Saccharomyces cerevisiae S288C: one gene and its partners. Changing the gene in region 1 together with any one later gene gives a genetic interaction. Each region holds a gene or a part of one and is shown in the gene's direction. Other genes may lie near its edges.

The links. A genetic interaction does not mean that the proteins touch.
Region 2: mutations in HOS3 (region 1) and PML39 impair growth when combined (synthetic growth defect), as found in Saccharomyces cerevisiae (one study listed by BioGRID).
Region 3: of HOS3 (region 1) and GRX7, extra expression of one is lethal in a mutant of the other (dosage lethality), as found in Saccharomyces cerevisiae (one study listed by BioGRID).

The regions. Positions count from the first base shown.
Region 1 is NC_001148.4:327,883-332,250, forward strand, and holds HOS3 (histone deacetylase), read left to right. Parts: upstream 1-1,723; coding exon 1,724-3,817; downstream 3,818-4,368. Other genes in the region: isopentenyl-diphosphate delta-isomerase IDI1, read right to left, coding at 1-848; GTPase-activating protein BEM3, read right to left, coding at 4,218-4,368. UniProt on the Saccharomyces cerevisiae protein: Responsible for the deacetylation of lysine residues on the N-terminal part of the core histones (H2A, H2B, H3 and H4).
Region 2 is NC_001145.3:54,765-58,040, reverse strand, and holds PML39 (Pml39p), read left to right. Parts: upstream 1-1,771; coding exon 1,772-2,776; downstream 2,777-3,276. Other genes in the region: RNA-binding signal recognition particle subunit SEC65, read left to right, coding at 1-175; orotate phosphoribosyltransferase URA5, read right to left, coding at 588-1,268; YML108W (uncharacterized protein), read right to left, coding at 2,931-3,248. UniProt on the Saccharomyces cerevisiae protein: Involved in the nuclear retention of improperly spliced pre-mRNAs.
Region 3 is NC_001134.8:266,225-269,097, reverse strand, and holds GRX7 (glutathione-disulfide reductase GRX7), read left to right. Parts: upstream 1-1,761; coding exon 1,762-2,373; downstream 2,374-2,873. Other genes in the region: alpha-1,2-mannosyltransferase MNN2, read left to right, coding at 1-1,388.

The DNA.
Region 1 (4,368 bases):
TGCCTGTCATTTTCCACTTCAGAAAGGTCATCTAATTGCTCCCACCAGTTGAATAAGTAATTCTCGCAAATAATCTTAAACCAAGGCGTAAACTTGTAACTTGGGTCAGCAAACATAGTTTTCAAATCATTTGGTGAAACCCATTTGAAGTCTCTAACTTCATTGACGTTTGGGTTGACAGTCAAGTTTTCTTTAGCGTTGATCTTATAAAATAGGATGTAATCAATTTCATGTTCACCCCATGGTTCATTGCTTGGTGCCATGTAATGGATTCTGTTTAAAAAGTGAAACTTACCCCTTGTCTTAGTTTCATCTTCTGGAATACCTAATTCATGATCTAGTTTTCTCACCGCCGCAGTAATAGCGCCCTTAATCTTATCGTCTAGCTTACCCTTCAAACCTAATTCGTCATCAATACATAGTGGATGAGAGCAGCATGTGTTAGTCCAAAGATCAGGGAAAGTTATTTTTTCAGTGGCTCTTTGTTGTAAAAGTAATTCACCTTGTTCATTGAAAATAAAGACGGAGAATGCACGATGTAGTAAACCCTTTTCAATATTTTCCATTAAATGACAAACTTTCTTGGTACCGGCACCAATAGCATTATCGTCCCAATCCAAAACAATACAATTTTCATTCATTAACTTAATTTGCTCCTCATCATGACCAGAAAAACATGTTTCTCCGCTTTCGTCATTTGACGTCTCACTAGATCGGGTATTAGGTCTTTGTTGTAATGGAATAATTTCAGGAAACTCTTCCAAAATGTCTTCAGGTGTTTGGTTTTGCACTAATTTGGCGTAACTAGATACTGCACCATGGGGCATACTATTGTTGTCGGCAGTCATTGAGGTGTAATGAATTTTTGGCTTATTTTTACTCTTCCTGTATTCCAAATACGAATACTCTAATATTGAATTAAGTGGGATATACGCCTTCTTGTCACTAGAAAACTGTTTCCTGTTAAATAGATAAAAATGAATAAATAAATATAAATGGAGTTAAGACCGAAAAAGAAAGGCAACCCCCATCGACAAGAAAAGAGTTATGAATAATCATGTTTCTTAATAACAATTAAAGGGAAAAGAATCGGCTGGGCATCGTCATTGCGAAACTGTTGACTGGAAAAATTTCAATCACAATTAAGTTTTGTCCATTTCGTTCCAGCAAGAACGGAAACTTTTACCGATAGCAGCGGAAAAAAAGAAAAAAGAAAAAAAAAAGAAATTAATATAGGCAAAATAGCCGCATGAAGCCCTTAATAACCTATACTATTCTGTGACTGTTATTTATTTACCCTCGTAATATTAAAAATGTCCTATACAATTTCTGTAATAAAACCTAATTTTTTTAGGACCCTTGAGTGTTACCCTGCTCATGTTTTTATTTTTGTTTTAGAGAAATGTAAACAACAGTTTGGGAAAGTTTCAAGAATTGTAAACAACTAATCAAGGGATAATACTATTTTACTCTTTCCTTTAAACATGAAGAACTATTTTTTGTTTACGTTTTTTTCTGAATTGAACAATAAGATCTTGTTAATTTTTTTATCGCTTGATCTATTATCAGATCTTCTCTTTTGAAAAACTAGTCCTTTTCCAAATTACAAACTTTCTTTTCGTGTGGAGTTGATCAGTTCAGTTTCTCCAATACTTCTTAAGTCACTGAAAATATAACGAAAAAAAGGGCTCTGGAAGTAAACAGAGAAATTCGACGATATAATATGTCTTCCAAGCATTCAGATCCATTGGAGAGATTTTATAAGCAATTTCAAGCATTTGTTCAAAATAACCCTAATGTCATATCGGCAGCTCGAGCTGCCGCACAAATACCGGAATCTGCAAAAGCTGTTGTAGTACTATCCCCATATTCTTTACAGCATGTGTTCCCGAGAGAATGGGTAACAAAATCGTATAGGAAAACTATAGTCGAACGACCAGAAAGATTATTAGCAAGCTCGATGGGTATATCAGCTGCGATTACAATGTATCCATCCCTTTTCACCTTGAAATCCTCGCATCAAAGGAAAGGTTCATTGATGGCACCTCATGTGCTTAAAGTTCATGGCAGTAGCTGGCCGGCTGAGTTAATTGAACTTTGCCAAATGGCAGATGCTAAATTGCTAAAAGGCGAAATCGAAGTCCCAGATACTTGGAACTCAGGTGATATATACTTGAGCTCAAAGACAATTAAAGCTCTACAGGGAACAATTGGGGCCATTGAAACTGGTGTTGACTCAATTTTCAAAGGACCATCTGCAGAACATATTAGTAACAGAGCTTTTGTTGCTATACGGCCTCCTGGTCATCATTGCCACTATGGTACACCATCCGGCTTTTGTCTGTTAAACAATGCACATGTAGCCATAGAATATGCGTATGATACTTACAACGTCACGCATGTTGTCGTGCTTGATTTCGATCTACACCACGGTGATGGGACCCAAGACATTTGCTGGAAACGTGCGGGTTTCAAACCTGAGGAGGAACCTGAAGATTCATCTTATGATGATTTTGGTAAGAAATTTGCCGAATTTCCCAAAGTCGGTTATTTTTCTATGCATGATATAAATTCATTTCCAACAGAGTCGGGATTTGCCACAAAGGAGAACATTAAAAATGCATCTACCTGTATCATGAACTCTCATGACCTAAACATCTGGAATATTCACTTATCCAAATGGACAACCGAAGAAGAATTCAATGTATTATACAGGACAAAATATAGAACTTTATTTGCTAAAGCAGATGAATTTTTCAGGAGCGCAAAACTAGAAATGAATCAACAAGGGAGACCATTCAAAGGTTTGGTTGTCATAAGCGCAGGTTTCGATGCATCAGAATTTGAGCAAACTTCAATGCAAAGGCATAGTGTCAACGTTCCTACAAGTTTTTATACAACGTTCACCAAAGATGCATTGAAATTAGCACAAATGCACTGTCATGGCAAAGTTTTGTCTCTAATGGAGGGTGGATATTCTGATAAAGCTATATGTTCTGGTGTTTTCGCACATTTGATCGGTTTACAAAACCAAGATTGGGTTAAAGAATGGGGGTCTGAACAAGTCGTTAAAGAGATTGTTCGTGGTTGCAAACCGGCTTGGAAACCCTATAAGACAAAAAGAGCAAAAGATGTCATAAGAATATGGGCAGAAGAAGTTATCAGGCTGGGACGAGCAATGATACCGGAATTCGATGATATCATTTTTAAAGACGCAGTTAACAGCGCACCTTCTAATTCTCTACTAAAGGCTACTGTCGAACCAGCATCCACGTCGACAATTGCTCAAAGAATAATCAGATCTCATAGAAGCAACGCTTCCCCAGAAAAAGAACTTCATGAAAACAAGCCGAGAAGCACGGAAAAACAGGAACAAAGGGAAATTAGAAGCGATACCAAGGTCAAGCAGCTCTCGTCAAATAATAGAGCAGCTGAAACCCAAATTCCGTTTTTGCAACAAGAATTTTCCAGTGAGGATGAAGATGAAGAATACGTTTACGATGAAGAATTGAACAAAACTTTCAATCGCACGGTGGAGGATATTACCATTGATGATATTTCTAGACATTTGGAGACCTTAGAAATTGAAAAAAAAGGTGATGAAGATTCAGACCATGAGCTAAAAGAAAAAAATTGGAAAAACTCGCACCAACGCCGTCTACAAGGTAATGGAATGTATAAAATTCCCTCCAATACGAAACCGCATCGCATAAGACAGCCTCAAAACGCAAATACACCAACTTATGACGATAGTGATATATCAATGATTTCTCATGTTTCAAGAAAACATACAACAAGAAGTGGTGGAAGATGGTGATACCAATGCATATATAATGTTGTCTTGAACCCACTAAAGAAGTGACGCATATATTACTTTTTTGTATTTAGTAACACAATTTTTCTATTTTTATATTTCCTTGTATAGTTAGTAATTTTAATTTTTTTCCTTCTTTATCTCAGCTCTTCGACCATTTGGTCAAGAAGTTAGTTTTTTTCTCTTATTTTATTTGACAATATACTAATTTTATTATATGGTATTGTAAATAACATTTGAGGAATAAAAAGACAGTCACTCTATAAGCTTTATCAGCCTGACATTTTTTTATTATTACAAATATATCGTTGAAAGAAAGAAGCCTCTATACATCTCGCCCTCTTTCTATCATTAAATCAATGGAGGTTTACTGGCAACGTTATATTTCTACAATTTTAGACCATCAAACCTGAGGAATATGTATATCTACTTTCTCCCTTTCCTCTTCTTTAACTGGTTCACCACCCTGAAATATACACGCAAAGTCAGTGATGAATGGTTGAAGCATACTAATTGGAATATTTAGAGTTGGGGAAAACACGATGCATAAATTT
Region 2 (3,276 bases), on another chromosome or scaffold:
ATTCAAAAAGATTCCACGTGTAAAGGGATTCAAAATGAATGAGATTGTTCCGCTGCATAGTCCGTTCTTGATGGGCCACCCAATGACAAAATCTGTTTACGAAACTCCTAAGATTACAGCGGCAGAAAAGTCGTTCAAGCCACCAAAAAATAAGTACAAAGTAGTTAGAAGATGATTGTCTCCTTTACCCATTTATGTATATGTATATGTATATTGAGATTAATATATTAATATATTAATAGATTATAATAGCAGAACTATAAGAATATGATGTTTGTTCAGATCAAGTGCTAAATGACTTGTTGTATCAGCTTTTAAATTTTTACATCAAGACAAATCAATTATTCGTATTATTTCGTCTGTAGTTGAAACAGAGTTCAATAAGCCAAGAGTTTTGAAGCAGCTACAGGCAAGAGGTACCGAAACACAGAAAAAAGTAACAAGAAAACTCTCTCGCTCTATATATATGTGTGTGAATATACGCTATTTATACACATATATAGATGAGCGGCGTGCATGTATCGTAGTAACTAAGATTAATAGTTCTTAAAAGAGATAAATAAATCATTTAATTAAAAAACTGATTTTTAAGCGGAGGCACCGTAGGTTTGAAGGTATTGTTCGATCTTGCTTTTCTCTTCTGCTGTTATTCTGCCTTCCAAATAGGTAATTATGTGAATTAAGGAGACAATGCTCAAGACTGGGATACCGTATTTTTTGCTAACAGTTTGAGTGGCGCTGAGTCCTTCTTTATCGTCAGTACTCACAACTTCCTGTCTATCAAGAGCAATTATGGAGCCAACTACCTGACCCTTGGCGTTACTGATGATCTCAAAGGCCTCGTTAATGGCAGTACCAGCAGTCATGACGTCGTCGATGATTAATATTCTCTTGTTCTCTAGGGCAGAGCCGACAATGATACCACCTTCACCATGATCTTTGGCTTCCTTTCTGTTAAAAGCGTACTGAATGTTTTGAAATTTAGAGCCACCAATCTCCGCCAATTTCACACAAACAATAGCAGCAAGTGGGATACCTTTGTAGGCAGGACCGAAAATCACATCAAATTTCAAATCAGATTGTATGATGGCAATTGCATACGCAGTAGCCAAATTGGAAAGCAATTTACCAGTATTGAACAATCCCAAATTAAAGAAATATGGCGATTCTCTACCTGATTTCAACTTGAATGAACCAAATCTTAGAGCCTGGCATTCGATGGCCAACTCTAGAAAGTTCTTTTGGTAGTCTTCCAACATAATAGGCATTTTGAATAACTTTCTTAATCTTTAATTTTTTTGTGTATCCTTCATACAATGTCAGACACAATAATACGCAACCAAAATTCCGTTAGTAGTATATCGCAGAAGTAATGCTTTATGGAAATTTTGAATGAATCTTATTTGACAAATAAAAGCCTGTTAATAATAAGAAGTGTCTTTATTCAAAAAAGGAACGTAAAGTTGGAACAATGATTGAAATACCCCACAAAATTCTCCCAAAAAAAAAAAGACAAAATGCAATTTCCTTTTGAAATGTATTCAAAAAATAAATTTGTTAAAAACCTCTGATTGATGATGAGATCAAACTACCAAACAATTGTTATCAAATCAAAATGCTCTTTGTTTTGCTTATTGAATATGGAAAATGTTTGAAAAATTTTCAAGCGCTAGTCATTCGGAACGAAAGTAACTGTCATCTTGAAATCTATGGTAAAGGAGAAATAAAACATTATTCCCCAGGAATTGACAGGAAAGTAGGGCAGTTACTAATGGAAAAGGACGCATTGGAGGTTAGACTGAAGTCTATTAGACATTCGCTGGACAAGAATACCAAACTTTTACCGGGAAAATATAGGAATACTCTAGGAGAGCGACTTATTACCAAATGGAGGTACAAGAAGAAATCCCATAATGGCAGTTCAATGTTGCCTGAAAAATGTAAGAGCCACGTGCAATTGTATGATGATTTGGTACAAGAAAGCTCTAAACATTTTGTTGGTTTCCGATTACACGATCTTCGGGCCTTGTTGAAAAGAATATGCTCCATTCAAAACTACACAAGGCATGTGCTCATTGAATGGGACGTTCGATGGGTCAATCCACTGACTCTAGCATCCAAGGGCTGGGAGCCGTACCAAAGTGCATCCCAGTCGCAAGTGCCATTTAAGTGCTGTTGTTGCCATGCCATTATGACAATTCCTTTATTAAAAAATGGCGATGATGTCGCCGATTACACCATGAAATTGAATGAAAAAATCTGGAATTCCAATATAATTGGAAATCATCTCCAAAAGTGTCCGTGGAGGGAAAATCAGGTTGATTTAAACAAAGAGTATTATTTAAGCTCACAAAACCTTATAAGGGAAATTGAAAGAATTCATACAGAAATTGACAGAATTGTTTCCGGATCAAATGAATTTAGCCTTAAAAGAAACTCTTCCCGTATATTTCATTACTTGTCTGAGAAAGAAATACAAAAATTGGCATTTTTTTTCGATTGTAAAGACTATTCTCTCGTAGGTCTGTTGCTTCTCGGCTACACGAAATTCCAGAAGGATGATCTGGTTCAATGCACGGCTTGCTTTCATCGAGCATCCCTGAAGAAGTTAGAATATACAGAATTTAACGGACACGCTCTATGGTGTCGGTATTACAACAAAGAGTTGTTGCCCACAATGTTGCTGGAGTTAATCGGCAAGGAGGACAAACTAATAACGAAATTGGGCGTGGGAGAAAGACTAAATAAATTAGAGGCTGTTCTACAAACTTTATAAATTAGATGTAATACATTATCCAAATTCTCATATGCTTGTATATGCCCCCATGCTGATGCGCAGATTCTGTCACTCTCTCTTTAAATTACGTGCACATATGCATACGCAACAGTCACGTTATATTCATGCAAAAAACCGAAGCAACATCATTATTTCAGTTATTCTCTTCGACAAATTTCTTTACTTTTTCGACAACCTCTTCAATTTCCTTATCTAGCATAAGTACAATTAAACCATCGCTACTAATTTCGTATTTGATATGACCTTCGTTCGGTATACATATTTCGGCATCGAACTTATCAAACCAGGTATTTAATTCGTCCAGTTCGTCAACATTAAATGGAAGTATCAACTCGTCAACAAATTCATGCATTTTTCCCGGCTTACCTTTCAAAAATTTTTCATCTTCTTTATTTATCTTGGTGTCGTCTTCTAGTAAGACGAGCATCCTATAAGTATTACTCTTGGACATTTCGTTTTTCTCTTTCGTCTTAGTGTAG
Region 3 (2,873 bases), on another chromosome or scaffold:
GTTTGGAACTATCTCCGGATGAAGTAGCAAGTCTGACCAAAAGCCATAAGGACTACGTAGAGCATATAGCGACTCTCGTCTCGCCAAAGGGTACGTACAAAGGGTCCGGTATAGCCACAGTGGGTGGCGGGAAGTTCTCCCTTATGGCATTTTTGATCATTAAGACTTTAAGGAATATGGGGACCACGTTACCTGTGGAAGTCCTGATCCCTCCTGGTGATGAAGGTGAAACTGAGTTTTGTAACAAGATTCTGCCTAAGTATAACTCCAAGTGTATTTACGTTTCAGATATTCTACCACGAGAGACGATTGAAAAATTTGTTTTCAAAGGATACCAGTTTAAATCATTGGCCCTTATCGCTTCTAGTTTTGAAAACCTGCTCTTACTGGATGCTGACAACTTCCCCATCAAACCCCTAGACAACATATTCAATGAAGAACCATATGTGTCTACGGGCTTGGTCATGTGGCCCGATTTCTGGAGGCGTACAACTCACCCATTGTATTACGACATTGCAGGTATTGCTGTGGACAAGAAAAAGAGAGTTCGCAATTCTCGAGACGATATCACCCCACCTGCTGTTTACACAAAGGATTTGAAGGATTTGAGTGACGTCCCGCTAAGTGACCTAGACGGAACAATACCCGACGTGTCTACGGAATCCGGCCAACTGATGATAAACAAAACGAAGCATTTGGCTACGGCTCTTCTATCTTTATTCTACAACGTCAATGGACCAACGTGGTACTACCCAATATTTTCTCAAAAAGCTGCTGGTGAAGGTGATAAGGAAACTTTCATTGCCGCTGCAAACTTTTATGGTCTATCATTTTACCAAGTTAGAACAAGGACAGGCGTTGAAGGCTACCATGATGAAGACGGGTTTCATGGTGTAGCAATGTTACAACACGACTTTGTGCAGGATTATGGCCGTTACTTAAATGCTATGGAGAGCATTGGCAACAAATACGGTGGCACTAAATCAGCTGATGCAATCAAGTTTGACAAAAACTATTCCCTCGAAAAATACACCGAAGAATTTTTCGACAACGAGGACTTAAATGCCAAGAATCATGTAGATGTTATGTTCATCCATTCAAACTTCCCAAAGTTTGACCCATACGATTTATCTAAAAGCAATTTTTTGACTACGAATGGTAAACCTGCTCGTTCATATACGGCCTTAAAAAAGGTAAAAAATTACGATATTGAACTAGAGAATTTCAAGGTTTTAAACGAATATGTTTGTGTTAATAAGAATCCTTTCAAATATCTCGATGACCTTTTAGGGCAGGATAAAACGGAATGGAAAAGAGTGTGTGGTTACATCACCGATAGATTAGCATTTTTAGAATCTACTCATGATAAGGCGATTGCCGGTAAATAATATGCAACGGGTCGGACTATAGTTTGGACAACTTCCATTGGCGTTTTCTACATTCTTATTACTATTCCTTACATAGTTATGTTTATTTATCTTCCAGTTATGTAAATTTTTTCCTTCACAATCCATATAAAATGACTTTACTACAGATGTATAAATATGCAGTCCCGGGTGTATTTGAGAATCGAGACTACGTCATACCGGTAAGTGGGACTGCGTTTTGAAAAAAAATAAAGAAGTACTTTCGGCAGGATATTTGCCAATGTGTACATATCCCCTCAGTGAAAAAGCTCGAATCAAATAAAAGAAAAAACCTATATATTGGAAAGAAGCAAAATTTTCAAATTAAACGCAAAACAACTGAAGAAAATTAGAGATGGCTATTGTTATAAACAAAAGAAACGTGAGAGTCTTGGTAATAACTAATTTACTGCTCATTGTTGTGTTTTTTGTGTTAAGGAATTCGAATGCTAGCGTCAACGAAAGTATTACTACTCACCATCCTGATTCATTGGTGACGTTTGACAATTCAGGAAATGCACCTGGCACTCACCAATCTGTCCATGATACAGTAAATACACAAGATAAGGAAGCCGAAGAAGTTGATAAAAATAGTGGGGACGCTGAATTTGATGCCGCTGCAGAATACAACAAAATAATGGAACAGTCACCCATGATTGTATTTAGCAAGACTGGCTGCCCATATAGCAAAAAACTGAAAGCTTTGTTGACTAATTCGTACACGTTTTCTCCATCTTACTACGTTGTAGAATTGGATAGGCACGAACACACAAAAGAACTACAAGACCAGATTGAAAAAGTCACTGGTAGGAGAACAGTCCCAAACGTTATCATCGGTGGTACTTCCAGAGGTGGTTATACTGAGATAGCAGAGTTACATAAAAATGATGAACTTCTAGACTCTTTCAAAAAATGGAGCGATGGGGCGTTTACTGTAAAAGCTAATTCGCAATCTGAGAGTGCCTAGATCAGATTATAAACTGAGAGTTATTCTTCTTCTTCTCCCACAGTAGCGAAAGAGGATATTTAGGTAGTATACAGATTTAAATGTAGTAAGGAAAAAAATTAAATATTGGCCATCTGTTTTAGGCATTTCATGTGGACAACATAAGCCTTTTGGACTGTTTAAAGTAGGTTAACGTAGAGCAGAAAAATATGAGAAGAAGCCTGTAATTTGTATAGTCAAGCATATATATTACATGAGTTTGGTGATCAGCTTAATTTTTCAGTATTCAAAAAAATGCTTCCAATCGGATTTGAACCGATGATCTCCACATTACTAGTGTGGCGCCTTACCAACTTGGCCATAGAAGCAGTTTTTGATGTGAGAGTCGCGTAGCGAATTTGCTTATACAAATGTTAAGGTAACTTCAGATCTAAACTCAAACTTGTATTTTCCTCTATATTTATCTCATCTTGGATTGTGGTTTCCTAGTGTTGGTATAAAAATCAACTATCGTCTATCAA